Linked DNA regions of Neurospora crassa OR74A. The main gene of each other region encodes a partner of the protein of the gene in region 2 in a complex. Links are inferred from orthologs where the notes say so. Each region holds a gene or a part of one and is shown on either strand. Other genes may lie near its edges. The genes, in order: NCU08728, NCU03827, NCU07386, NCU06542, NCU05717, NCU02951 and NCU01761.

Evidence for each region.
Region 1: NCU03827 (region 2) and NCU08728 share a complex: the UniProt entries of both Saccharomyces cerevisiae proteins name them as parts of the mitochondrial small ribosomal subunit. The link is inferred for Neurospora crassa OR74A from reciprocal best matches to the Saccharomyces cerevisiae genes MRPS9 and RSM19.
Region 3: NCU03827 (region 2) and NCU07386 share a complex: the UniProt entries of both Saccharomyces cerevisiae proteins name them as parts of the mitochondrial small ribosomal subunit. The link is inferred for Neurospora crassa OR74A from reciprocal best matches to the Saccharomyces cerevisiae genes MRPS9 and RSM26.
Region 4: NCU03827 (region 2) and NCU06542 share a complex: the UniProt entries of both Saccharomyces cerevisiae proteins name them as parts of the mitochondrial small ribosomal subunit. The link is inferred for Neurospora crassa OR74A from reciprocal best matches to the Saccharomyces cerevisiae genes MRPS9 and MRPS12.
Region 5: NCU03827 (region 2) and NCU05717 share a complex: the UniProt entries of both Saccharomyces cerevisiae proteins name them as parts of the mitochondrial small ribosomal subunit. The link is inferred for Neurospora crassa OR74A from reciprocal best matches to the Saccharomyces cerevisiae genes MRPS9 and MRP17.
Region 6: NCU03827 (region 2) and NCU02951 share a complex: the UniProt entries of both Saccharomyces cerevisiae proteins name them as parts of the mitochondrial small ribosomal subunit. The link is inferred for Neurospora crassa OR74A from reciprocal best matches to the Saccharomyces cerevisiae genes MRPS9 and MRPS8.
Region 7: NCU03827 (region 2) and NCU01761 share a complex: the UniProt entries of both Saccharomyces cerevisiae proteins name them as parts of the mitochondrial small ribosomal subunit. The link is inferred for Neurospora crassa OR74A from reciprocal best matches to the Saccharomyces cerevisiae genes MRPS9 and RSM27.

Annotation. Positions count from the first base shown.
Region 1 is NC_026502.1:3,811,519-3,815,101, reverse strand, and holds NCU08728 (mitochondrial 37S ribosomal protein RSM19), read right to left. Parts: upstream 2,411-3,583; 5' UTR 2,032-2,410; coding exon 1,989-2,031; intron 1,889-1,988; coding exon 1,873-1,888; intron 1,572-1,872; coding exon 1,392-1,571; intron 930-1,391; coding exon 893-929; 3' UTR 641-892; downstream 1-640. Other genes in the region: NCU08729 (transcription initiation factor TFIID 23-30kDa subunit), read left to right, coding at 1-109. UniProt on the Saccharomyces cerevisiae protein: Component of the mitochondrial ribosome (mitoribosome), a dedicated translation machinery responsible for the synthesis of mitochondrial genome-encoded proteins, including at least some of the essential transmembrane subunits of the mitochondrial respiratory chain.
Region 2 is NC_026505.1:2,536,200-2,540,466, forward strand, and holds NCU03827 (mitochondrial 37S ribosomal protein MRPS9), read left to right. Parts: upstream 1-1,398; 5' UTR 1,399-2,030; coding exon 2,031-2,886; intron 2,887-3,013; coding exon 3,014-3,105; 3' UTR 3,106-3,968; downstream 3,969-4,267. Other genes in the region: NCU03826 (elongation factor 1 gamma domain-containing protein), read right to left, coding at 1-481, 539-587, 856-1,042, 1,138-1,167. UniProt on the Saccharomyces cerevisiae protein: Component of the mitochondrial ribosome (mitoribosome), a dedicated translation machinery responsible for the synthesis of mitochondrial genome-encoded proteins, including at least some of the essential transmembrane subunits of the mitochondrial respiratory chain.
Region 3 is NC_026501.1:6,129,383-6,133,222, forward strand, and holds NCU07386 (Fe superoxide dismutase), read right to left. Parts: upstream 2,691-3,840; 5' UTR 2,421-2,690; coding exon 2,159-2,420; intron 1,778-2,158; coding exon 1,107-1,777; 3' UTR 646-1,106; downstream 1-645. Other genes in the region: NCU07385 (hypothetical protein), read right to left, coding at 3,214-3,840. UniProt on the Saccharomyces cerevisiae protein: Component of the mitochondrial ribosome (mitoribosome), a dedicated translation machinery responsible for the synthesis of mitochondrial genome-encoded proteins, including at least some of the essential transmembrane subunits of the mitochondrial respiratory chain.
Region 4 is NC_026504.1:1,584,327-1,587,591, forward strand, and holds NCU06542 (putative mitochondrial 37S ribosomal protein MRPS12), read right to left. Parts: upstream 1,671-3,265; 5' UTR 1,528-1,670; coding exon 1,372-1,527; intron 1,217-1,371; coding exon 923-1,216; intron 789-922; coding exon 714-788; 3' UTR 533-713; downstream 1-532. Other genes in the region: NCU06541 (alpha-1,2 mannosyltransferase KTR1), read left to right, coding at 3-70; NCU06543 (acyl-CoA dehydrogenase), read left to right, coding at 2,862-2,953, 3,053-3,265. UniProt on the Saccharomyces cerevisiae protein: Component of the mitochondrial ribosome (mitoribosome), a dedicated translation machinery responsible for the synthesis of mitochondrial genome-encoded proteins, including at least some of the essential transmembrane subunits of the mitochondrial respiratory chain.
Region 5 is NC_026503.1:614,219-618,024, forward strand, and holds NCU05717 (mitochondrial 37S ribosomal protein YmS16), read left to right. Parts: upstream 1-1,490; 5' UTR 1,491-1,752; coding exon 1,753-1,776; intron 1,777-1,912; coding exon 1,913-1,944; intron 1,945-2,206; coding exon 2,207-2,504; 3' UTR 2,505-3,203; downstream 3,204-3,806. Other genes in the region: NCU05716 (hypothetical protein), read left to right, coding at 1-68, 121-809. UniProt on the Saccharomyces cerevisiae protein: Component of the mitochondrial ribosome (mitoribosome), a dedicated translation machinery responsible for the synthesis of mitochondrial genome-encoded proteins, including at least some of the essential transmembrane subunits of the mitochondrial respiratory chain.
Region 6 is NC_026501.1:8,605,765-8,609,603, reverse strand, and holds NCU02951 (mitochondrial 37S ribosomal protein MRPS8), read left to right. Parts: upstream 1-1,571; 5' UTR 1,572-2,006; intron 2,007-2,102; 5' UTR 2,103-2,362; coding exon 2,363-2,848; 3' UTR 2,849-3,301; downstream 3,302-3,839. Other genes in the region: NCU02950 (hypothetical protein), read right to left, coding at 1-623, 691-857, 935-972; NCU02952 (hypothetical protein), read right to left, coding at 3,565-3,839. UniProt on the Saccharomyces cerevisiae protein: Component of the mitochondrial ribosome (mitoribosome), a dedicated translation machinery responsible for the synthesis of mitochondrial genome-encoded proteins, including at least some of the essential transmembrane subunits of the mitochondrial respiratory chain.
Region 7 is NC_026502.1:2,520,252-2,524,446, reverse strand, and holds NCU01761 (hypothetical protein), read right to left. Parts: upstream 2,694-4,195; 5' UTR 2,490-2,693; coding exon 2,451-2,489; intron 2,394-2,450; coding exon 2,185-2,393; intron 2,121-2,184; coding exon 2,062-2,120; intron 2,000-2,061; coding exon 1,980-1,999; 3' UTR 1,441-1,979; intron 1,349-1,440; 3' UTR 575-1,348; downstream 1-574. Other genes in the region: NCU01760 (pumilio-family RNA binding repeat protein), read right to left, coding at 25-153; NCU01762 (nucleolar RNAse III), read left to right, coding at 2,956-4,014. UniProt on the Saccharomyces cerevisiae protein: Component of the mitochondrial ribosome (mitoribosome), a dedicated translation machinery responsible for the synthesis of mitochondrial genome-encoded proteins, including at least some of the essential transmembrane subunits of the mitochondrial respiratory chain.

The DNA.
Region 1 (3,583 bases), on a different chromosome or scaffold from region 2:
TGGTGGACAGGGTGGCAGCCAGAATAGGACGGTGCTGACGATGGAGGATTTGGGCATGGCGGCAGGGGAGTTTGGGGTTAATGTGAAGAGGAGCGAGTTTTATCGCTAGGGGGGCAGTCACGGTCACGGTGCAGGACTGTCTGCTCTACTGATGAGAAGGGATGGGGAAACGGTGGGTGGTTTGCCTGAGTGTGAGCGGAATGGTGGCATGGCAGACCAAAGGATGATACTATCTTAAAGGGGCGGCAACAAGTGGTTACTTGCTCAAGGAGGAGGATATCAAGAGGATGATGCATCGATGGATGGATGGATGGGCAAAGGGTCGGCAATCAAGGGTCCAACACGGGAACGGTGCAAAAGGGGTTTGGGGTCATCGGGTCTTCTTTTCTTTTTCCTTTTTTTTTTTCCTTTTTTTTTTTTTTTTTTTTTTTTTTTTGCGCTTGGCGTTCAGGAGGCGCCGTTATGGAAGATTGCCATCGTCCTGTTTGCTCTCAGTGAACCCGTTATGACTACTAGTCTAGGCTAAAAATAATAATACCTGGCGATACTAGCATATTTTTATCAATTACAAAGCATAATTAAACTACACACTACACAACATATACATGTTCATCTTGAAACAACAGACACAGCACAGTAGTATGAATCCAAGCGAAAGTTCTAATTTGCCCCAAAATATGATATGTGTACAGAAACCTGTGCCCTCCTCTGACAATGGTATGGTATGATACAGATAAGCAACGAAAATATGCTTTTTTGTTTTTTGCCGAAATAAACGCCGCCCACAGAAAAAACGTGTCAAACCCGCATCCATCAATCAATCGACTTCTTCTTCTCTTTTCTTCTTCTTCTTCATCATCATCACTGAAGAGACGAACGAAGTTTGGTTTGTCTATTTCTTCTTACCCCAGATGAAGGGCTTGCGTGTACTGTTTGAGGTTTTGAACCATTCAGTTAGTGTCGGTCCAATTGTTCATGTCCATATGCCCAATGTGTGTCTTTTGTGTTGTTTGTTTTCTGCTGACCACACTGCACCACCGCCTACGATCATCATCATCCCGTGGTGGCGTCCAACACATGTCGCCCGTCCAGCCATTCATGGCTTGCCACCAGCCAATGCCATGGCCATGCCGTGTCAGACCATTGAATTTTGTGTAGGAAAATTCTTTTTTTTTTTTTTTCTTTTCCCACACCGCCAACATTTATGGCATTTCCGCCGCCATCTTAAAAAAAAAAAAAAAAGGAAAAAAAAAAGACCCTTTAAAAAAATAATATATTGAAATTGAAAAATAATAGTCAAAGAAGGAAAAGAAAGGAAAAAAGTAGACTAGTGAAAGTAGGGGAAGAAAGAACCAAAAAAAAAAAAAAAGAAAGAAAGAAAGAGCACTTACGCAGAAAACTCTCCAAGCTTATGCCCCACCATCTCCTCGGTGACAGTCAAGTCAATGTAGTCCTTGCCGTTGTGTACCTGGAACTTGAGGCCGACAAAGTTGGGCAGGATGGTGGCGGACCGGGCCTGGGTGCGGATGGGAGCGATCTTCTTGCCGGGCTCGGGGCGCTGGATGGGGAGACTGTTTTGTGTGTATGCGTTGGTGGTTAGTGCCCGTTTGCGCTCAAGATAGGTGACTATGCTTGTAGCGTTGCGGTTGGATTCGGTTGGACTGCGTTGGTTCGCGGATGGAGGGGAATGTCGCGGGATGGGCTCGTAGAGAATGATGGACATGCGCCGGCAGCTTTGATCGGGAGCAGGGAGGAGAGAGAGTCCTCGGGAGTGCGCCGGCGCATTGAATTGTCGTCGTCGTCGTCGTCGTCGTCGTCGTCGTCATTGAGATCGCGGGGACAGAAACGAGGGGAAGGGGTAGTAGAGCTTACGGGACAATGTGCGGACCTGGAGTCGGCGATGCGGGTTAGCTTGACTGTCTTGGACGGCGCAAAGAGTACATTATCGCAAGGTGAAGCTTAGGAGGAGACAAAACAAAATAACTTACCCTTCCACACGGATCTCTTGAAAAGAACCCTTGTTGGCTGCATGTTGGGCGCGAACGAGAAGGAATTCGGTGGTGATGGGTGGTGGCTGCAAATAGCGGGAAGAGGCCGGGCGCGTACGCGACACTCGGATGGTCTTGAGATCAATCGGTCGGTCGGTCGGTCGGTCGGTCGGTCGGTCAGTCAGTCGGCGAGTCCGGCAGGCGGGCGGGCGGAGCGGTTCCAGGTATCACGGCGACGGCGGCAGTGACGGGAGCGCTGACCACGGCCGAATTTTGGAACTGCCAAGCTTATCGGTTGCCGGCCGGCATACCTAGTACGGACGCCCCCGCTGACTCTCCCCCCTGGCTACCTATGTACGCAGTAGGTACTTCTACAGGGTTAGGGGGCATTCATCAAAGCGATTATCGATACAGCAAAAACCCCTGCACGGGTAACCCTGTCTATCGATATCTAAAAGCAACGCCCCCATAATTACACTACGATGATAACCCTCTAAACACCTCTTTTTGTCAAGGTAACCTACCGTCAATATACAGATGGATGTCAACCCTGCAGTGGAGAGGTACGGAAATCTTCAGTCAAACGGCACTTGCTTAGTGAGCAGAGAAAGCGGGGTCTACCTGATGGCAAAGATCAATTAGCATCCAATTTGTGTTATCGTGCATTTCTTGGGTGCGCAAGAAGAAGAAAATCTATGCACGATACTGCTGAATCTAATGCTATGGTGGTGTGACTCGTGCACCACACCCTACAGGTACCTACCCCTGTACTGGCAAGCCCCCCTGCTCGAGCAGCACTTGGGGCCGAAATCTTGGTGTTACTCGAACTAGGATACAGCAAGTATTATATGACTTACATACCGTTTAGCAAACCGGCGGCACTGGTTGGCACTCTCAGACACTTGCTGCCCGTGCTGCCGTCAATTGGTTCAGGACTAACGCGACTGCGATACTCCAAAACATAGCATCCCGGATTCCGGACTATTGGCATTCTTGGTGGTGGCCGATAACCGGCGTGCGTCCGTCGATTCCTGACTGCAGCTCAGTGGTTCACATCGATCGTGCACTCCGTCTTCTTCAGTGTTGCTCCTTCCTCAGCATTTCAAGTTCCATACACCTCGCCACCACTACAGTATGTATGATGTTTGTACATCAATGTAGGACGTAGTGTAGGTAGTTTAAGGCAGGCGTGAACTGCCGTGCTGTGCCTTGCCTTGCCTTGCCTGGGCATGGACTGGGCCGTCATGGATTCTTCGTCTAGGCAAGAGCGCCACCGCAGTCAATATATCTATCTGGCCGTGGTTTCCCGTTCGCGTTCACAACGACCTTCTTTTTGGATTTCACCATCCGTCACTCTTTTTTTTTTGTTTTGCGCATTTGTGGGTGTGCTTGCATCGTCGATGCCCTCAGACGAATGCCCCCCCTCCCTCTGGTCGGTCTGATCAACATTTGATCGGTTCACCAGTCTGCGCGCAAAGTCCGAGAAGGGCACCGCATTCGTTCTTCCCGCGAGCCACCTGAGAACAGGGCTGCATTTGTTTACTATCCAGCCAGCCATGGAGTTCCAACTTCCATCATCATCATCATCATCATCA
Region 2 (4,267 bases):
CTTGGGCTTGGGGGCCTCAGCGGGCTCCTCAGCGGCAGCGGCGGGAGCAGCAGCGGGCTTAGGGGCGGCGGGCTTGGGGGCCTCAGCCTTCTTGGGGGCGACGTTGGTCAACTTGGGGGTATCAAGGAGAGCGAAGGGAGGAGCAACGGCCGAGTAGATGGGCTGGTTGTAGACAGTGGTGTACCAACGGGTGACGTTGGGGTACTGCTCGCGCCAGGCCTTGTCGAAGAAGAACTCGAAGCCGCGGGCAATGATGCCAGTGGCGAAGAGATCGGCAAGGGTGATGCGCTCGCCAACGAGGAAGGTGTTGTTCTTGAGGTGGGCCTCGGCGACAGAGATGGCCTTGAGGGCAGTAGCCTGAGCGTCCTCAACAGCCTTCTTGTTGTAGGGAGCCTTGCCAAGGAGAGGGCGGTACCAGCCAGCAAGAGGGGGAAGGACCTCGGTGTTGAAGAAAGAGAGCCACTTCAGGATGGAGGCATAGCTGAACCACGCGTTAGCAAGTGATTGCACAGGTTTGGATGCTCGATCATAAACTTACTCCTGCTTGGTCTTGCCGAGGAGAGTGGTCTTCTCGTTCTGGGAAGCGACTGTTGTCCGTTAGCCATGACTGTCCAATCAAGATACGTGGCAATTGCAGGAGGACAAAGAGTGAGTTCGACAGTCAGAAGTTAGAACCAAGTCAACACCGTATTTCAGATAGGGATAACTGTTTGAAAAATGTCTCGGTCATCAGGTCGAAGGGGCAAGGGGTTGTGCGCTAGCACATCAGAGGGTATCTGGCGCAAAGTTGATGCGTGTTTCAAAGTGCGGGGCAGGGCAGTCTTGCTTGACGCCCAACATATTCTGTCAACGTACCATAGATGGCGATGGCGATGCACTCGAAGAGAGTGTAGCCGTCGGCACCAACGAAGGTGGGGACCTTGCCGAGAGGGTTGACCTTCTTGTACTCCTCGATGGCAGCCTCAAGGTCGACCTTGATAACCTCGAGGTCGAGGTTGTTGGCCTTCGCGACAGCCAAGATGGCCGTGGAGCGGGGGTTCGCCTAGTGAGCAGAATCTGTTAGAATGTCGGCGCTCGTCCGCAGGCGCCCGCCGTGTCAAGACGAGCGCCGCAATCTCTGAATTCTGCTCATCTTACCTCGTAGGTGTAAAGCTTTCCGAAGGCCATCTTTGATAATTTGATCAATGATGAGGAAAGATGGGTTTGGGAAGAAGAGGGGTGACGGGGAAGCAAATAAAAAGGGATCTGTGCGATGGATGATGTGGATGGGAAGACACAGAGGAAATTTTATCTGTGGTGGGGCATGCGCGCGGCCACGGCAGTGGCGGGGAAATTGCCTGGCTGCTGAGCCTGCATCCCGTTTTGGCGGCTGGGTTGCTTCCCCTCACATCAGAACCTCACAGCGCTGGAACTCGACAGAATGCATGAGAGAGCTCAGTACCTTAACCGCCCGCCGGCCCGTTGGCGGCTGTGGAAGGCTGCCCAGATGGGATTCCATTGATGGTACCTAGCGAGGTATGCTTTCGGCCAGTGATTCACACTTCCGCTGTCTGTGCTTTCAGTTCCCTCGTGCCATGCCTTGATGGCTGCCAGGCTTCCAGCCCATGGAAAACGGTGCCGCTTGATTGCCGGGCATCTTGTCTTATCTGCCTGCCGGGCGGAATGGTCCCCCTGTCGGGGCCGCATGCGTGGAGGGGAAGGTGACGGGAGCCCAGGTGAGGTCGGGTCCAGTGAGTGCGGTGCTTGAGTGGGAAGCATGGGTGGTCCGAGCTCCCATTTTCCGCTTGCCGGGTGGAAAAATCCTCTTGCGAATTGTTCCGCCGCGGGACGGCCCACGACGCGCAGACGGGACCCGGAGTCCGGACCTGATTGACCACTGCCCGCGCTGGACCTGCCCTCGCCCCCGACAGCCCCAAAGATACCCATCGGCGAGCCGACCACACCTCGACCCGAACCCCAATCCCACTCCTCTCCCGATCCAGTAGCCCTCGGGGCCCGATAATGTACGAGAGGTGAACAGCCGCTTATGAATGATGGCATCTCTTAGACACAGCATTACCAGTGCTCTTCGGAGCTCCCGCCAGGGCTGTTCCAAGTCGGCGCAATGGCAGTCGCTTGACCAGCAATTCGGCGCTTTGCGCATCAGCTCGAGGTCCCTGTCCACCCACGCCCACGACCACAACCCGAACGTAGATGGCCAATTCATCGCCGCCCCTGCGCTCAGCATAGACAACTTCAAACTCCATCCCTATGCCCGTGCCGTCCCCGTGTCGCCCTCGTACTTCACCCGGACGCCCCGGTTCTACGACAACTATCTTTCCCTAGAAAAGCTCATGGAGGAGTACGAAGACCTTCCTGTCATCCCCGCGACCGCCGTCGAGCGCGTGGCCTGGAAGACGCTCGAGGATATCAGGAAAGAGCTCGGCGAGCAGGTCAAGGCATCCGAGTTCGCAAGGTGTCTGGCTCTCGTCAAACGGCTCAACTCGATCCACCCCGACCTTAAGCCACAAGAGATCAAGGATGTGCTCGACAGCTTCAGGCGCAACGTACAACCCTTTACAAATGTCGCCAAGCCGATCCCGATTGACCAGTTTGGCCGCGCTTGTGGAGTCGGCAAGAGAAAGGCCTCGAGTGCTCGGGCCTTCGTGGTGGAGGGTACCGGCGAGGTTCTGGTCAACGGGAAGACCTTGGCCGAGTACTTTGGGCGGGTTCACGATCGCGAGAGCGCTGTTTGGGCTTTGCGCGCAACAAATCGCATTGACAAGTACAACGTCTGGGTCAAGGTGGAGGGTGGTGGTACCACGGGTCAGGCGGAGGCCATTACGCTGGCTATCGCAAAGGCCTTGCTGGCTCATGAGCCTGCTCTGAAGCCGGCGTTAAGAAGGGGTAAGCTTCGCACTACATTACACATGTTTTGGTTTTCTATGATTGTGCCTCGCCATACAGGCTTTCGCGGTATGGTAGGTAGGGATGATGCACCTTTGCTAACAAGTCCCTCTTTCTTTTACTGTAGCCGGATGTGTCACACGCGACCCGAGGAAGGTCGAAAGAAAGAAACACGGCCATGTCAAGGCCAGAAAGATGCCTACCTGGGTCAAGAGATAATCGCCCTCCTGCTACAGTTTGCGGTATTATTGGATGGGTTTCGTTTTTTGGGGGGGCATTGTGAATATGCTGCCTCAGTTTCGGTTTATGCACGAACGACCAGTCAAATGGAGCGATGCTTTTTTTCCCCACCAGCGCAGCATCACAGCTCCTTTCTTTCTGGGAAGCATTTTCTCTCATGTGCGTACTCTATATGTGGATATGCATGTGAGTGTCCGTCTCGCTTGTGGCCTCGCCTGGGCCTACCAAGTTCAGCACAGGTCGATCTCAGGCAAGCACGCGTGTACTTGTACAGGAGGGGTTCAACAAACCGTGTTAGGGGGGGGCCGGCACGACCTTGTTGTGTGTGTATAATACAATCTATGTGTGTGCTGGGGGGGTTACAACGGTTCTTTTTGCCATGGAAAAAAAAGGTATGCAAACCGATTCGACGCCCGGCCTCTTCAACCGGCATCACTGCAACTTTGACATGGGTTTTGCTTGTGATGGGTTGACTGATTCGTGCGACTACAAGTCATGAACCATCCGGGGGTTACATCCAATGTGTAAGAGGCATGCCGAACAACTCCCATCTCACAGATTAGGTGGGAACGATACGCACTGCAGGGCACACGTGGGTTAGCCGCGCTGTCAGAACCGCGTTTTCTGAACTTCAGATTCCGTTCCCGTGGCGGCAGAGTGCAATCCGTGTTCAGCATCCTCGCCCGAGGGCCCTGGGGGACTGTAAGGATCCTATATAAGATGGTGTTTGGTAACCATTTGTCATGCTTTATTATTGTCCCAAGTCCCACCATTCCCATTATGCTTGGCCCGTAATGAGGTCGGAATAGGTAGTCAGAGGTCCATACACTGCAGTGCTCACGTTCGCGTTCGTATATAAGTGACCTATGTAGTATGAGGTGGTCGAGAGTATGCTCCCTTTGACCTGGATTGTCATGGCAAAATCACCCAATTTGTGGATGTGATTGGTGCCAGATGAACGCATTGGGAGACTTCTGGCAGCTGATGAGACCTATGCGGTCCCGTCTCGTCTGAAATCACTACTTGATGGTGTCGATACATAACGATGGTTTTATGGAAGCTGCACAATATTTCTGCAATATGACTGGAGAGGTTGAGGATGAAGTCGTCAACAACCGGTCCACAGACACACACACACACA
Region 3 (3,840 bases), on a different chromosome or scaffold from region 2:
ACCTCGTGCTCAACTTGGGTGGTTTCAAAACCGGGACATTACACATCGATTGAGTGACCGTGAGTGAGTAAAGCCAGTTCGAACCAAATCTTTGACCGGATCCAACGTACGGAGTCCCAATGCGAGACATGACATGGCATGGCATGGCATGGCAATCGAGACACCGATACACTCACTCTGCCGTCCTTCACCGGTGCTCGGTTTACGTACCTACTTTTAGTAGCTACCGCGCTGAAACGAACCAGTGAGGTCTCGGCCAGGCAAATCTGATAACCTAACAGTCAATAGTCAAGATTCAGTTTGTCACCGATCACTCGGCATGGAGCCTGAGGCCTTGCGAAGGAGGAGAAATCAGAGGCTGAAACTACAAAGGTAGAAGGGCTACAACTGGCAGCGGTCAGGTATGTTTTCAACAGCTGATGTGTCGTGGTAGTTACCTAGTGAGCTGATATCGTGAAGGAAGCAGACATCATGCGGAGTAAGGAGTAGTCGGACATGTAGGTCCGTATGAGGTCCTTAGGAGATGTACTAAAAAGTTTGGTCAAGTAAGCAGAGAAGGTTGGATGTCGATGTCACAATGTGCGTCCATCTTTCAAAGTGCTATATTTACAATTTGCATTTGACCTATCCGTTTGTTGCTTCGTTGCCGTTATCCTGCTTTCCTCTTTCACACACACACACACATTTGGTTCATTGGTAATATACACATGTAAAAGTATAGATGGCAGCTGCCGGGGCTGGCTTGGTTTTTACTTTCCTTTCTCTTTTTCCGGCCGGTCTCACCGTCATGCTATCCTATCGTACAGAACAACTTTTCCCTATATATCCGGGTTCCATATAGACAGACAAAGTCACAGAAGTAACTTGGGCAGCAACCGTACAATAATCCATCTCCATCCCGTTCCACTCGCTCTTTCTACCCCTCGGACAAGGTGACAGCCGTCGGACTGTCGATGGCGGCGGCAGGCATGGACTGATGGACCAGTAGTCGCGAGTAATTCAGAACCAAAAAGTCGAGGCTTAAGCTTTCACGCTCCCGCTTCACTTCCTACTTCAATTCCTCCTCACTCCTCCCTCCTCTTCCCCCGCAGAATGGAAGCAAGAGGCTAAACAGAGCTATCACCGCCCGTCAAGATCCTAGTCTCCAGCCTGGCCTCCTCCTCGACCTTGGCCCAATCAATCATGTTCCACCAGCTCTGCGCATACGCCAGCTTACCACCCATACCACCCACACCAGTTCCGTATTCGCGAAGCCACGCGTACTCCCACGTGTTGAGGCACAAGATCGGAATCAAATCAGTGCCGCCGGGAGCCGTAGGTTCAAGCTTGTTGCCCTTGAACCCAGCTGCGCTGCGCTCGAAGAAGCGCTGGCCGTTGCTCAAGCCCTGGGGGGAGCTCCCGATGGAAGTCTGGGCGTCCATCTCCTGGCGGCGCCAGTGGGCGCCCGGGTAAGGAGAACCAGCCAAGTAGGTGGCCATGACGCGGAGGGCGACGGGCTGACCGGGAAGCTGGGTGCGGACGAGCCAGACGAAACCGGGACCGAACATGGAGACGGCGGTGCCGATCATCTCGTCGCGGAGCGTGTCGACGGAGCCGAAGTTCTCGTTGATGTGGTAAAATAGCTTGTCGCCCATCTTGACGGGGACCGGGGACAGGTGGTCGAAGAAGAAGTGGTTGTTGTGCGCCATGGAGGCGTGGTTGAACACATGGGCGAGCTCGGGGTCGCGTGCGGTGGCGAGGACGATGGACTTGGTGTCTTTTTGCTCAAAGTCGGTGCCTGTTTGACGAAAGAGAAGTAAGCAAAGTGGTTTGTCGGTTAGATATCTCCCATGCAGCAAAATAGGTGACATCATGTCTTCCCCCCCGGATAGGCAGGGCATGCTCTGGCTTGAGCTTCAATCCGAGTCCCCTTCCTTCTATTTCCTCCACCAATTCCTTTGTGGCCTAACCACTGCGCTAATGCCTCCTCTTCCTCTCAGGCTTAACAGCATCCCAGCTTGGCGTTTTCGACCAAAGGATACCAATTCCTCGCAGCCAGTAATCCTCGCACGTAACCTTCATCCATGCCATGCCGTGCTATGCCGTGCCACATGATAACGCAGCGACACCAAATTCCCCAGACGAGTATGTTCTGTGTTGCTGTGTCATCCGTACGTACCTACTACAAGCGCGTTAAGCTTCTCCAAAATGAAGGTCTGGTACTCGGTATAGGCCATGTTGACGGAGCCGGGGCTGAGGAAGTTGCGGATGCCCTCTTGCTCGAAGTTGTCGCGAAGCGGCATGAGGTAGTGCTGCCATCTCCTTTGAGCGGCGATGCTGGCGCCGGCGACGGCGGACTGGTTGGTGGCGACAGCGTTGACGGCACGGCCGAGGAGCGAGCTTGTCGCACGGGGTATCCTTAGACCCATGGAGCCGATCATTTTGTCTGTTGGGGTTTTTTTTGGTCTCTTTCTCCGCAAGAAAACGGCCCGGGGGTCGGAGGAAAGGTTCGGTGGAAGGGAAGGTCGGCCGGTCGTTCGGTCGGGGGAGATGGACGGTGGACAGTGTGTGTGGGGGGCGGACCTTGAGGACGGACGGAGACAACTTCAAGACTGGACGGGCTGCCGGCGCAGAGCGGACGCACTTCAGAACACACGGGCACTCAACCCCGGAAGACGGTCGAAGTGGGACGCGACTTTCGAGACTTTTTTTGCTCCGCTGCGGAAGGACCCGGCCATTGGAGCAGGGACCAATCGTTGGGACGAACTGGCGGCCGGCAGCCTCACCGTCCTCGCAAAGAGCCAGGTTTGACCCTAACCCTGGATGTTATTGAGAGGTACCTACCGTCCTTGGTGGGGTAGCTGTTTGCCAATTCCGGAGTTCCGTACTTGGCGTTCACATTGACTTGCGTCTTCAACCGTTTCGATGATGTACTGGTGCACAGATACTGGGCATCTTTCTCTACTTTGCTCGTGTATGTGCTATGTTCATTATCGTACTTTGACCGATATTCTGTAACGCTATTGTAAAATAATTCCGTGGACGCCGTTGCTCGAAGTCCGAACAACTAACAATAATCACGAGGCGAACTGGACGCCCTCACCGGACTTCCCCCACCAGTACTACTTGACGCCAAAAACGACCCGATGATGCAGTATCCCGAACAGAATGAGGAATATAAACAGTGAACACCGACACCCCCTTTGAATCAATTTCCCTTCCTTCCCTGGTCATTCAAACGTCGTCCTCCACCATCGCAAGAACATCAAGCTCGTTCCTGACCATCCGCTCGAACTCTTCACGACTGATGCCAGCGCCGCGTGACAGCTGGAATAGACTTCGAATCGTCCTTGAGACGTGCTGCTTAACTCCAAACTCGACTCGATCTTGCGCTTCCGCCGTTTCTTCGAGCTTGGCCACCATGCGGGATCCGTTTGAGCTGGCGCTACTGGCTGGGCGCGGATGAGCAAGGCTTTCCATCCTCTCCTCGTCCGCCTGGGACATGCGCCGGCCACTTGAGTCAGAACCGGACTTATCAGAGGGTGATCGGGATGGAACGTAACCGCCGTTGCCGTCTCCGTTTAGGCCCAATGGCGGCGGCGCTGGTGCGGACTTGATGACAGGCGGCTCATATGCCTGTTGTCTTGGCGACGGAGACCTGCGAAGGGGGAGACCATTAAGCGGTGCACCACCCCCCACAGCTCCGCCCTGGAAGGCCTCCTCGTCTGGATCATGGGGGTCCATGGCTGGCTGTACGGATTCGTATTGGGCGAAGTACGCATCTTCGGCGGACGGACTACGCTCAAAGGGATGGGGTTTTTGAGTGTTGAGGCCGGCGCCCAAGGACGGCGGCGCAGGAGA
Region 4 (3,265 bases), on a different chromosome or scaffold from region 2:
AGGCACTTCGAGGTACTACGAGCTTAATGGTCTTCCGAAGCCAGAAGGCTGGCAAGATCAGTCGGATTAGAAGGAGGCGAAGAAGAAACAGTTCTGAGGGTGTGGGGATTAAGGCTTTATGTTGGGAAAACAGGTCTGCAAATAAAACCAAAAGCGGACATTCCCTAGAATGTATTATCGTTATAATGACTTTTTCGTTCTCAATTGGTGGTACAACCCAATTGCCTGGAAACATGGACCTATAAATGGGAAAGGTTGGGCAAAAACGAAGCTGCCTGTTCTGAGTGTTTTGATGGATAGGGAAGGGCTATAAGGGGCGTTAAGGAAATCATGACACAATCACTTAGGGTTAGGTTCGTTGTTACCGACTGCTGAGATAACCCTGGTATTGCCAGGTGTGAAAAGGCAAGCTGACAGCAACACAGTTGGTCCAGTGTCTCCGTCCTTCCCCGAAGTATTTCGTCTTCGGTGTTGTATCATCTTGAACATGGCCAGTCTTCGACAGTCGTAATACAAGGAATATGGACGCCGATATCCTGTCATGCACCTTTTATTTCCTTATAGTACACGGACACATAGTTTAGGATGCGGAATGATGAACTACATGGATGAAGCTTAACCACCTCCACCACGCTCACATCACATCATCATCATCCTACTGCCATGTAACCAGGGGGGGTATCATCTCAATTGTGCTCTGTTGTGCTAGCTGCTTAACCAACAGAGGCCTTCTTGGGCTTCTTGGTACCGTACTTGCTACGACTAGACATACGAGTAGCAACACCGGCCTGTTTTATCACCATTCTTTGTCAGCACATCATTTTCACAAACTAAACACTCATCTTCCCCTTTTTCTCCTTCTCTCCCATCCTCCATCCAGGGGTCTCCATCTAGGGATTTTTCTTCTCAGGAAAAAACTTACCAAATCCAAAGCACCTCTAACAAGATGATACCTCACACCAGGGCAATCCTGGGCTCTGCCGCCACGCACGAGCACGACGCTGTGCTGCGAAATGTTGTGGCCCTCGCCGGGGATATAGGCCGTGATGACCTTACCCGTGGAAAGACGGACACGGGCAGTCTTGCGTTCGCCCGAATTGGGCTTCTTGGGACGCGTGATGCCGACTTTGACACATACACCCTTGAGCGCGGGAGACTTGATGGAGGACAGGGCGGGGGAGACGGCGTGGCGAGCACGTTGGGGCTTACGGCAACCCTGGAGGAATGAAGATAAGAGTGGTTAGCTTTTGATCAGATTGAATTGGACGCGGGACATAGGGCTGTGGTAGTAGCACGGGAACCAAAGTGGTGATAGGTGCATAGGTAGGTAGAGGTAGGCGGGTTGGGGATAGCCTCATCATCATCACTTACCCTCATGACCTGGTTAAGAGTGGCATTCTGCGCCGGAGTGCTGGAGAACAACCGCGCAGCAGCAGGAAGGATGGAAGAGGACGATGGCATCAGCGGCCGTCGTAGCAGCGACGGCTGCGCCTGCGAAAACAAGTTCCGCAAGAAAGTCGTCGCCATCTTGTGATCTTGTGGATCTTGCTGATGGCGGGATGCTCCGAAATCGTCAAGTTCGGTCGGTCGCGGCGCGCAACAGGACGCGGTACAGTACAGGATAGCGGTTCCCCAGGCCGGGCCCGGCAGGCGCACGCAGGGCCGGCGGCGGCGGGCGGTACCAGTGTGGGAACTTTTTTCGTGTCACGGGATGACACACGTGGAGATAAGCTGAGCCAAGAAGGTAGCAGAGGTACGTACCTACTGCCGTGCTTGAGGGACGGAAGCCATTGGGTAAGCTCCGAGTCGTGTGCGGCAATCATCGGTTAGCTGTGAGCCTTCGACAAACTGACAGTCACATGGCATTTGTTTTCCATTCCCCTTCGTTTTCTGAAACTCGTTCGTTGGCACCTCATCATTCCATTTCTATCGCTCGTCTGGCTCTGTTTTCCCTTCTCGCTCACGATCCATGGTTTGCTATTCGCGATTAACGAGTCACGATCCACGGTCTAGCAACAATGGTCACCGCTCGCCGTGCCCCGTGCCCGGCCATCATCAAGGTCCATTCGAGAGAGAGTGCCCCTCCTCCGATGTCCCGTCTCTACCGTGTCTCCCCCAAATGCATCCCTGTCGTGGCCACCGTTTACCCCGGCCAAGGAAATCTTTGTGGGGAAAATGACCTCTTAAGAGGACCGCCCGATTCGGAGCTTTGTGAATGGTGGAGACCTTACCTCGGCAGAGGGGGAGACACTTGACCCAGCTGTTCACAGCATATCGGCCGTGTGCCGGCCAATGCCATTGACCTTTGTTACCCGCTGGCTTGGCTTTTGAATTACTGAGAGAGAGAGGGATAGAGAGAGCTAACAGTAGAGCTCTTGTCCCGGTTGCCCGTAGGTATCCTGCTATCAAGGTGTACGCACCTATCTCCTCGAATACCGCGTGGGCTTCTGCGATAATGATCTGTTCTGTATATCAAATGCATAGTGACAGGTTAGACACATCGAAGGTGTAGGAGATGCATACGATGCAAAGGTCAAGAGAAATCGGGACTCTCTTCACCTTATTTTGAGCCCACGCTGTCATTGTTGCCTTCCATCCAATACTCCACGGATCATCGTTACGGAGCTACATAAGTACATCTTTCATCTGGTCGTTAGTGTTAGCTCCGCTGTACCGTGCCCAGCGACTTATAAGTACCCGAAGCTCGTTCCATCACACCTCCAGTTCTCCTTCCCCAAGCATTTGATACCCTTTCCGCCTTCTTTTCTTCCATTATCTCTGTCCTCTTCGTTCTTCCTAGACAGCACTCGCGCCAGGTTTCCGATCGGTTCTTTAATCATCACACATACGCATCAGACACAATGAAGTCGTTCACTAGGGTTTTGCGTCCCGCCGTCCGCAGGGCTCAGGCAGTTTCCGCTCCCAGACTCTCCAGAACTCCCGTCGTCCAATGGTAAGTTTTGTCATCTCGTCTCATGCCTGGTCTGGTCTCAAAAGAGATGGGCTGGAAGAGGGAGAAGGCGATGTGCTAATACTTGGTTTCCCGACATAGCGCTCGCACTCTTTCCACCACCTCCCCTCGCCGGGACATAACCGATCTGCCGCCAACCCCCATTACCCACTTCTCCGAGGTTGAGACCGCCATGGCTGAGACTGTCCAGAAGTTCGCCAACGATGTCATTCTTCCCAAGGTCCGCGATATGGATGAGGCCGAGGCTATGGACCCCGCCATTGTCGAGCAGCTTTTCGAGCAGGGTATTATGGG
Region 5 (3,806 bases), on a different chromosome or scaffold from region 2:
GAATGATCGGGAAAGGAAGCGTGGCCCAGATGATGCGTTGAATCAGTTGTTCGACCGTCTGGTCGGCGGTATGTCTCTTTGCCCCTGCCTCTCATTCCCCTCGAACTAACATCGATACAGACGAGGACCGAGCAGCAGCAGGAGCCGGAAAACCCGTCGAGGCCATCGGCGCCGAAGCCGCCCAAGCCTACATCTCCTCCATGGGCGCCAATATCGAAAACGTTGAAGCTTTTGTGGTCCTTGAGATCGTCCGCGCCGACTCCATCGGCCAAATCACTCGCCAGGGTTTCGTCGAGGGGTGGTCCTCCATCTACCTCGACCACCGCATTCCCGCAGACCCGGCCCACCACAGAAACTACGTCCGGATGTGCATCCAAAACCTGCCTCAAAATCCGGCCTACTTCAAAAAAGTCTACCAGTTCGCTTTTGGCCTGGGTAAGGAACCTGCCCAAAAGGCACTGGAGAAGGACGTTGCCTTGGTATTCTGGGATTTGTTTTTGGGCACCGAGTCTTCAGATACAGGACTAGGACCGAGGCCGTGGAAGAGCAAGAACGTGGATTGGCTGGGTGCGTGGAAGCGGTTTTTGGCGGAGAAGTGGACGAGGAGCGTCAACAAGGATATGTGGAACCAGACGCTGGCGTTTGCGGAGAAGACGATGGTGGATGAGACGCTCGGGTTCTGGAACGAAGACCAGGCGTGGCCGGGCGTGATTGACGATTTTGTGCTTTGGTGCAGGGAGCAGGGGATTGCCAAGGCGCCTGCACCGGGGGCAGCAGGAGGGGAGGGGATGGATGTTGAGGATTATTAGAAAGTTGGTCATGAGCATCCGGGGAAGGAGTGTAAAGGATGAAGTCAAGTGGGTGGATGTGGTTATACGGGGGGGAGCATATGAGGATGTTGGTGAGGACTCTTTCGCCTTGGCGCAGGGAGGATAAGAGGGGCAAAGAAGAGAAGCACTGATGGTCATGCTGTTGCCAGTTGATGCTGGGAGGGCTTTCGGGGCTCTCATGGCGGTTATCATCTTGTTGAGGTTGCTGCCATGGTGGTCAAGCGGCGCATCGAAAGATCAGAGGTTGGTTCGCAAAGAGCAAAGAATACATTTACACAGCGCATTTCCAGATACACAATACCGATAAGAGCATGCATTTACAACATGAAGGCCATTCAAAGGTGTATGAAGCGGTTGGGAATGTTTTTAGAACAAGTCTGATTTCTCATTGCTTCTAGACCACATTATAACCCTTTAGGAACTTTTAAAACAGCTTTTCTGGAGGACCATTACACCCAACAGATGTCTCTACAATCACCGAGGTGACAGCTGAAGAGTCGAGTAAACAACCTCTCTCCCACCCACCCTTGATGAAGTGTGTACACCCCTATCCGGAAGGCGGTCAACGCGGCAGAATCTCGACCTTCTTCCTGGACCCCACAAAAATTTCCAAGCAAGCGGCGGCACCCGGACGCCCACTCGCAACCAACCCGCTGCGGCACTGCGGCAATGCGGCACTGCTGACGGCAACACCCACCACACCCTACAGTACTTGCTGAGCCCGGTCACAACAGCAGCCACAGCGGTACCTACTGTGGGGCTCCGAACTTCTTATCGACGTCCAAGGTTCACTAGGTAGTACTATACGCGCTTTCGGCCGGTCGCAATCGCATCGCATCGCATCGCGAAACTAAACTTCTTTTTGCGTTCGTTTCTTTCCCCGAACCGATTGCCCGCCGCCCAGCCCAAACTACCAGACAGGATGTTGTATGAGACTATTGGTATTGTGAGTTACCCTAGGGTTGAACTACAGGAGCAGGTTAAGAGATTGGGGGTACAGAAAAGGAAAGGAAATGGAAAGGGAATGGGAGAGGAGAGAGATGGAAAGAGACAGTCTTGCTAATGATTGCACTTGTGAACAGGTCCGCCCGGGCAACATCGCCGAGGTGAAGGAGTATGTTTTTTTCCCCTTCTCTTTGTTTCCACTCGATAGTCCGTCCGACTTGAAGAAAACTCCCTCCGTCTTTCCTTTCCCTTACGAACCCGACCCGACCCGAACCGACCGATCTTTCTCTTGTCTTCTCTTCTACCACATCATCCACGACCCTACCTACCTATCACCCCGACTCCGACTCCGAACCCAACCCAACCATCCCATCCTCTACCAACCTTCCACACCTCGTCGTACTAAACAAGAACCAATAAAAAAAAAACAGACTCGTCCTAACAGCCGGCAAACTCATCCTCAACCAAGGCGGCGTCATCCGCGACATCAAGAACTGGGGCACGTTCCTGCTGCCCCGTCCCATCTCCACCAACCAGCAGCGCCATAACCGGGGCCACTACTTTGTCATGCGGTACGACGCCAGCATCGCGACGCACGAAGAAGTCCGACGCACCATGAAGGCCGACCCGCGCGTGATCCGCACGGCGAACGTGAAGTTGGGCGATGGCAAGCTGGAGACGCTGTCGAGGTTTGGGGCGATTCCTTGGAGGAGTTTAGAGGAGGCGTAAATCTGTATCTTCTGGACGGAGAGCAAAAGAGGGGGCGGGTGGGGGGGGAATGTGTACGATGGATGGACAGATGGATGGGAAATAATGAATCGAGTCGAATCGAATCGACATATATCCATCCCATCTCCTTACCGGCTTGTGTATACCAAAAGGGCCGTGATGAAGCAGACCGGACAACATATATGGACGGATGGATGGCAGGCATCTTTATACCTTCTTACCTCCGTCGACAGCAACAATAAAAACGACCGAAACACCCACCAATAACGATCTGGGCCTTCGATGAGCAATGGTACATCGTGAACGCACGACACCTGGATAGCAACATGGGATACATACATACAGACAGGCAGCATACGTATCCGAAATCTTCATTGCGAATGGGTTGCGGAACCATCCATACCCACTCAGGTTGAAGGAAGGAGGAACCTGACTCCTTTTCGACCCCGTTAATGGATCACCGTCGTCGATCAAGAAGTTCTGGCGTGAATTAGGGTGCACTCGAAACGGTCAGAGTATCATATCAGTCAAGCCAGCTAGAGAACAAACTCCCGGACCCGTCTTTGTTCATGTACGATAACGCATGTGGAATGTGATCCGCTAAAGAATACGACGCCATATTCAGATTCCTTAAAGCAAGGTAGTTCATCGGTCCCGGCTCAACAAGGATGGCTTGGGATTAAGAAACGTCAGACACGATCATATTAAAGTTACGGGTGATCTTTGAAAACTTGACGTGAGGGCTCTTCGCTCAAACTTCATCCTCGTTTCAGTTACCACACTTGTATGCTACACTACCTCCCCTTATCAAATGTAGTTGATCGATCCTCTCGAGTTCCCAGTTAAACACTATGATATCAGTCTCGCCAACACACGGCAACACACGGCAACAGAGGCATGTTCATATCACCAAGTCAACACACATCCAGAACCGGGGCTCACTAAAGTGAGATTTAATGTAAACCATCTCTATCAATTACCTTCCACTACTTTCACTCGGCTACCTAAATAATGAATCACTCCAGTCTTCCCTCTCTCTCTCTCTCTCTCTCTCTCTCTCTTCAAAACGAAAATTTTTCAAATCCAGTCTTTCCACCCACCATACCAGCAACGCCCGGAACAAGCAAGCAGTAAACTGACCACCACCACCACCACCACCATCACCAACCCCCTTGACGCTGCGTTTGTATCCTACCACTTTATCCCGGCGTTTAGACACAAAAGACCCGGTAGTGAATGCAAGGAAGAAAAAAAAGGAAACACAAAAAAACGAACAATAAGAAAAACATAAACTCCCAAACT
Region 6 (3,839 bases), on a different chromosome or scaffold from region 2:
TGGGCTCAAAGGTCCGCGGCCGCTGGGGGGAGGCAGGCCTGGTGAGAAGGGAGTGGTCGCATCGTAGGCCAGAGTCTGGTGCAACGGGTTCACCGCGGCATCCTCTGGGGGAGGCGTCTTCTCGCGGTACCGTACGGGTTCGGCGGCAGGTGGCGCGGCTGGGTTATAGGCCATCGGAACAAATGCTTGAGGCGATGGTGTCGAGTGATCGTGGGAAGCAGACACTGCAGACATGGGCGGCGGAGCAAAAGACTGGATTGCGCCAACTTGCGGAGGCTGTGATAAAGTGGTCGGGGGTGTACCGTGGTCAGCGATTGCTGCCCTCTCGAGTTGCTGGACTACCGCGCTGACTTCGGTATCGTGCCGAGGTGGTGGTCCTGGCTCGTTGTGGACATCGCACTGGTGCGGAGGGAGCACACGTCGGATGCCATTGACGAATTGCAGAGCATCTTGATGGTTGTGAAAGTAAATGTCGAGCGAGTGAAGCTTGTAATGGTACTTGGCCTGATTGTGAGGGTCGTATGTTGGTAGATGCCACTCCTCGTAGCCCTCGACCTCGCCAACCGTCAAAGTTACAAGGCAGGTGTGGTTGTAATCGTACTCGAGATGGGTTTTGTCGAGGTCTGGCGACACATGATGTTAGCCTTCCCACTGTCGTCTCGAGCTCTCACTCTAAATCCTAATGCTTACAGCCATCGAAAGCATCCTGGTCTTCCCTTCCAGGTTGGTTCGCAATCTCCAGCCGTGCGCGGCCCAAGTTGGCATCTTCGAAAAGGTATACATAGGAGCCCTTGTCGAACCTGTGATGAGGCGGGTTATTTGTTGGAGGGCCGTAGAAGTAGTGAATATCACCAAAGCTATGCAGCGAATCAATCAGTCAGAATGCGCCCAGGAACTATCACCTCTTTATGGGATCAACGGAAGACAAACTTACAACGTGCCGACGTTCTCCTCTCCCTCACGGGCGGCCATCTTTTGTGATCAACGAACTCGCTTGAGTGAACAAACACAACAACACAACAACGGTAAAAAGGATTGAGAGAACTGAAAGACAGCAAACTTTCTCAGCTTCCCACCCGAGGGCTATCACGCCTAATATCAGAGATGACGGAACCCAAAGAAAACAAAAGCCACTCGGCTTCCGCGTCTTTGCGATAGTACCCTACCTCTTACATACCCTTGCAGGAGACCGTGGTCTGGTTCTTCACATTCGGCTCTCACTCCATGGCGCAATCAGCACACAGCCATCCAACCAGCGCGCACGATAGGTCGGTGATGCGACCCCTAGTGCCGGTAGAGGTGACCTTGCCTGGTGGTTGCATCGTCCTGGATGGTCACTGGATGGTCCGCCTGGGCGCTTAAGGTGGGATGCCAAGAAAGAAGCACGAGCAAGTCAATTGTCACACTCTCCAGTCCTTCTTTCACAATTGACGAGGAGGGAAAGGAGCGGGAGGGAAAGACAAGAAAAAAGGTGGGGTAAGCAGGATCCATCCTCAATAAACCTGGAGAGCTACCAAGAAAGCCCCACCGGACAGACACCTTCTGGTCTCTCTGGCGGAGGGACGGGAGGCCTTTCAGGGCAGCAGGGGTCTCTTTTGCAGTGACTTTCGTGCAAGGCACAGTGGAGGTCATTGCCCGAGGTCATTCACTCTTTCAACGCTCAGCCTGAGGTCTTTTCTCGAACCATCCCTGTCCGTCCTCCACACGGCCCCGGCGGCCAAGCAAACGCACGCACGCCCGCCAGCCCGTACGTAGTGCCGTACGGCAGAAGCGGACAGAGCAGCAGGGGGACAAAAAATCGGCAGCACAACTTACCTAACGGAGCCATCCCGATCGAGACCTCGAAACCGCAATTCGCATCCGGACCCCGTTGCGCGCCGCATTCGCGAGTCCCGAAACCTCCACTTGTTTTTACGGCTCCTCCGAAGTCCGAATTCCTCCATCACGACCACCGACCCGTGACGGCCACCCGACTGTGCGCAACAGCTACGGTCTCCCGATTGGTTGTGCGTTGCAATCTTCCTTTTTTTTTTTTTTTTTTTCTGTCCCGCGAATCTTCATCGGCACGCCTAGACTAACCTCAAGACGCCCCGTCGCTGCAGCACCGATTCCTCACCCGCATCATCCTTCTCTTCATCCCGCATCATCCTTCTCTTCATCCCGCAAGGTCCCCAGTTCGCCGCCGCATCTCCCGAGCACTTCTACACCGGACGGACCAAGCCATACCAGCCGATCGACCCGACGACTTACGCGACGACGGCCGACTTCTCTCTCTTTATAACCCATCACCCAGTGCATACCATTTTCTCTCTCTCTCTTCAGCAACACAAAAGTCCCACACGGGCATCATCAAACCTTCAAAATGGGCATTCAACAAATCACCAACATGTGCTCGCACCTCCAAAACGCCTCGCGCGCTCGCCTGGGCCTGACCTCCCTGCCCAACACCAAGTACAACCTCGCCCTGGCCCTGGCCCTGCACCGCGCAGGCTTCATCTCCTCCATCACGCGGGGCGGTCCTCACCCGCCCACGCCCGAGGCCCTCATGACCTACGAGCCCGAGCCCGTGACCAGTGCCAACGTGGCCACGCGCCGGTTGTGGGTGGGACTCAAGTACTGGAACGAGGAACCCGTCTTGAAGGAGCTGAAGCCGATTTCGAAGCCGTCGAGGCTGGTGACTGCCTCCCTGGAACAGCTGAACCGTGTGGCGAGGGGCTTTCCCGCGGGATACATGAAGGGGTTGCAGTTGGGCGAGTGTTTGTTTGTGAACACTGATAGAGGTGTGTTGGAGGTTAGGGAGGCAGTGGAGAGGAAAGTTGGTGGGCTGGTTTTGTGCAAGGTAAAATAGATGGGTAGAAGAAGAAGAAGGAGGAGGGTCTCAAGGATGGACGGTGGGGATAGGACATGAATTCGGTGAAAGGAAGGCATTGTTGGGAAGGAAGCGAGAGGAATAGAAGAAGAGGAGGAAGAGTCACCGCACTTTGGGAGGATCTCAAACCTGAACTGGAGCCAACCATTTCTGTGCGCAGTGTACGATACGGATGTGATTCCATTGTACACTAGACGACTTAGCAAGACTGGACAAACATGGAAAGGAATAGACATTGGCAAAGCAGAGCTCATCCTTGGTTCTTGCTATGTGAATATGAGGTATGAGGCCAAGAAAGACAACGAGCTGGCATCCTGTATGCTATGATCTATGCATGACAACTAAATCATCAGCACTCACCGTGGAAACAGATATCACCAAGATTGATAAGAAAAGGGATCGATTCATCCTGCTCCAGGGTGCTGTACAACCCACTATCTGCTATGCATTCATACTTCATGCTTCGCCAACTTTCTTACAAATGTGTGATTGGTCTTTCTACAAAGGTATCATGAAATGTGCTAACCCAGTAACACTGCATCCCCCTCTTTCACTGTCTCGAACAAGTAATAGGGGTGATTAAAAAAGACTCTACAGGCCAAAAAGCGATCACATCCACCATTTCTGGCTTCCTTTTACGAATCAGAAGTGTGCTTAAATTCCGAAGTGCTGGCAGACTTCTCCTCGCCGTGCTCCTAGATGTCAGCATCGGTGGTATCAACAACCTCGGCAGCGGACGAGGGGGCGGCTTCAGTCTCCTGGGCTGGCATCTCCTCCTTAACAACATGAACGTCAGAAGTGGGGGTTTGGGGAGCTTCCGTGGCTTCCTCTACCGGCTGAGCAACTTCTTGAGGAGTCTCCGTCACAGTGGGGAGGGGCACCTCAACAGCTTCTTCTGCCTTGGGAACCGGCTCAGCCTTGGCCGCAGCTGAACCAGCACGAGACTGTTTCGGTGTCGTAGCCGCAGATG
Region 7 (4,195 bases), on a different chromosome or scaffold from region 2:
GTAACATACAACTAGAATACATACCTGCTGCAAGTTGGGAGACATCAACTCATCGGGAAGCTTCGTGTTCTCGTCCTGAGACTGCGAGAAACTCCTGGAAGCCGAAGCACGGCGCTCGTTGGGCGAGCCGGTGGATGCTGCGACGGCAGACATGGTCGTCTGCTGAGGGCTGGATGTTGAATGACCTAGCCTGAGGGGATTGGAGGGATGCTTTGGGTGCTGGTGTTTCACAATGGGAGGAGATGCTCAAGATGGTGATAGAGAAAAGCAGTAGATTTGGTTCCAATGGCGACGAAAGACACAGATAAATAGAAGCTTGGGGGCGAGATGACCACAAACCGCTTTTGAGAGAACACGGTTGGTGATGGCACCGACAAGAAGATGCAGAAAGAGAAGAAGCCTTAGAAATATGTGTTGATATAATGGGGAAAAGAGAAAGAGCTCCAAGAGCTGGTCTGGGACGGAAGAAAGAGTGTAAATGTGCCCGAGATACCCGTACTTTCAGCTACAGTTGCCCTGAAGTTGGACCTTCTCGCAAGGCAACAGCAACAAACCTCTTGGTGACGATGGACGCACCGGTCAGAATAGGGCTAGAGGTAGGTAGGTACCTCTAGGGTAGGTATGAGCCCGGGATGACCGAGACTAAAGTCGAAATGGTGGACCCTTGGCTCCCGAGGGAGGAAGGCACGATGGAACTGTGACCGGGACTGCCCAGGTGTCACTGCCCGGACACTCCAAGCAAAAAGGGGTTCACGATGCCTGTGAGATAATCCGCAATCTCTGTGATCAAAGCTCACTTGGGCTGCCATCAGATGATCTGACGAGTGAACGCACATCGGCTCGTCCATCCGAAGATCGGAATCGAATATGATGAGTCGCTGGGGAAGTTGCGACCGGTATTCCAGCTAACGATCATCGGCCTTTGGCGTCGTGCCTCCCGTCCTTGTGCCTAGCGGGATCCTTATCACCAAGCCGAAGTTTTTCACGTGTCGCGGGGACGTCGGGCATGATGGTCAACCGAGCCAGCGATGAGACATCCTGCCGCGTTAAGGACCTTGCTGTCCGGCTGCCACTTCCCATACGATCAACGGGTTTCTGGGTTAGGCGTCCGAGCCCCAATGACATATTCCGAGTTCATTAGGCGGTATTCATACCTAGGTGTTCATGTCACCTGCCATTCGGTGTGATCTACCATTCTTCGTCGGAATGAAAATGAGTAGAGTAGGTAGGGAAGCATGCAACGTCTGGAAGCTTCAACAAGACAGCACCATCACCTAGCATCGTGGACATTAACAGATAGGAGTGGCGGGTCGGCTTTTCTCGTCCGGTAGGGCTGGGATGCCAAGGTCTTTGCAAATTATGGTAGGTGTGATTAGCTTCCTTTCCTATCCATTTTTATTTTGGAAAAGGCTTGAAATGGAGCAGGAAGAGCCAGCGCACCTTTTCACATTCATGGCGTTCTTTGACATGGACGGCTTGTGCAAAGATCTTGGGTGATCCGACACTCGCTTGTTGTTTTCACCCAAATGATCAAAGCTGTTCGTAAAGAGGGACAATGGCGAAGGGTCATATCCTCCCTCAAGCCCATCCGCGCTATGGAATCAAGATACGGTATCTTCAGCTTATCAACAGGCGCTTCTTTGTTCGATGCATCAAGAGACTTGTGTAGACGCATGGGAGGACAGTCCCGAGATGAACCTTTGACAAAGCTGGTAACCACAAACCTGCTTGTCGAACTAGGCGGCTATTCAACACCATTTGAAGGGGCAAGTGCCGCGGGCGTCGCTAACCATATGTACAGTTGTGGCAGCACCTCGTCACGGGGAGACTGTGATGGCATCAAGTACTGAGCGGAAAAATGCATGTCGAAATGGACCAACTGCCGGAGGAACGCCAGGTATTCGGGGTATATGATTCTAGTCCGCCCACTATATGATACATGTACACGTCGTGTAGTTCTGATTTCGGGACGCCGTGTCTTATTTCTTCTTCTTCGCATCTGTCGCAGAATATGAACGTTAGAGATTTGAACCGTGAGTAAGAGGTGCAGACGAAACCCACCGGCCGCCGAGGGTGCCGTTCTCTTCTTCTTGGGCGCTCCCTTGTCGCGGGCTCTCAGACTGTAAGGTATGGTTAGATTGTGATGTTTGCAAGTAAACACTAGCAGGAATGAGAGAGACGAACGCTGCCAAGTGCTCCAAACGATCATCATCGACCTCATCGTCAACCTCGAGACCAAGAGTACCGAACTCCTTTTGAAGCTCGCGAATACCGACGTTCTTGCGGGGGTAGTAGGTCGCAAGTGCCGGGCCCTTGAGTCGCTGACGCAGGATCTTGTTACCGGTCCGGATGCCTTCGGGATTGAAAGTCGTCGAGAAGAGCTCGCAACGAGCCTAGGTATAACCTAGTTAGCGAACTGGTTTTTCCCCTCATTCGGAACTGTTCCATACCTTCACAAGTTGCAGTAACCGCGCCCGTGGGACCGACATCTTGCCGTTACATGGAATTGCGGATTCGCGAATTCTAGAAACAGCAACAACAAGAGCCGCCGGATTGTTCGACGTCGTTCAGAGATCTCCCGCTCCAGCCCGTCAAGCAATGCGCCACCAATCATAACCATTCATGGGTACAAAGAGTGGGGCACGGACTGCAACCGTTGTTTTCGAGCCGCAGTGTCCCCGGGCCGTCAGCGCAAGCCCGCTGATGAAGCCGAGGGCGGCGCGTTCCAGGGCTGACAGGCGCTAAGAATGACAGCTACGGGCCATAACAGGGCAGCAGCAGCGCCCTGATGTGGATCTGGGGTCGAACAGGGGGTTAGGGTTTCCACTACGCAATGGCCCGGGATTCGTTCTCATCTTGAAGAATCCGTTTTCGATTCTGCCTCTACAATTTCATCGCCGCATCAACGCGCGATCTGAGGCATTCGGATTGCTTGTAGGAAAGTACAATCTTGCCATGCCGAAACACGGACCCACCCCGGAGGAGGTATCAGAACCGCCCTCCAAGCGTGCGAAGTCAGACTCTGCACCATCCGCATCACAAGGCGCTACATTGGAGTCCGCAACCTCCGTCCAAATTCCTTCTTTGCATGCCAATACCAAATGGACACTCGCTACCATCCAGAGAATGCGGCCACCGCTCCCCGACATTCTGGACCCGGCACTCAAAAAGGCGGCGCTCACACACCCTGGTAAAGCTAACAACGACCCTGTTGCAAGTTATGAGAGGCTGGAGTGGATTGGCGACGCTTATCTTGAGCTCATCGCCTCCTCCTTCATATATCAAACTTTCCCGACCTTGCCGGCTGGCAAAAGCGCACAACGTCGCGAGATGCTTATCCGCAACACCACACTAGGCGAATTCTCGGTCTATTACGGCTTGGACAAGATGGCCGATATCCCGGAAGAATTCAACATGGAGGGCAGAGTGGGCGGTACAAACGCAAGTCAAAAAGTCAGAATTAAGATTCTCGGAGACCTTTTCGAAGCCTATGTAGGAGGCGTGATTCTTTCTGATCCTGCCAATGGGATTCAGCGTGCTTCAGACTGGCTCAAGGCCCTATGGGGCCCTCTCATGGCGGAGTACATCCGCGAGGAAGAGAAGAAGGCCAGGAAGCCGGAGCAAAAGCAATCCGCAAGTGGCCAGACACTCGACCCAAAGACAGTACTCGAAGCTACCATTGGAGCCAGGGGTGTCAAGATCGAGTATAAAGATCTCCCTTCCAAAAACCTGAAGGACAGGGGAACCAAGCTGCCTCTTTTCGCTATTGGCTGTTTTATGACAGGCTGGGGGGAGACCAACCTGCAACTTGGGCACGGAAGTGCTTTGAGCAAGAAGGAAGCTGGTCAGAAAGCAGCTCAAATGGCCTTGGATAACAAGAAGCTGCTCAAGAAGTTTGCGGACAAGAAGGCGGAGATGAAGGCCGCGCGGGAAGCCCAGCTGCAGCAGGCAGGAGTGACGTTCCCCTTGAAGGATCAGCCTTCGGCACAGGAAACCACTGGCGGCGTGCTGTAGCGACCAAGTACTGTTCGGTCTCATATGCCCCTGATCTTTAATACTTCGACACACCAACCATCACATGCCCGTAGTCTCGTGGTTTACCTCGGGCGTCGGCCATGAGAAGGACGCATAGCAGATGAATTAGGCCATTCATTACTACGGGTAAACGACCCGGGTTCAAGGGAGGACCAGGGAC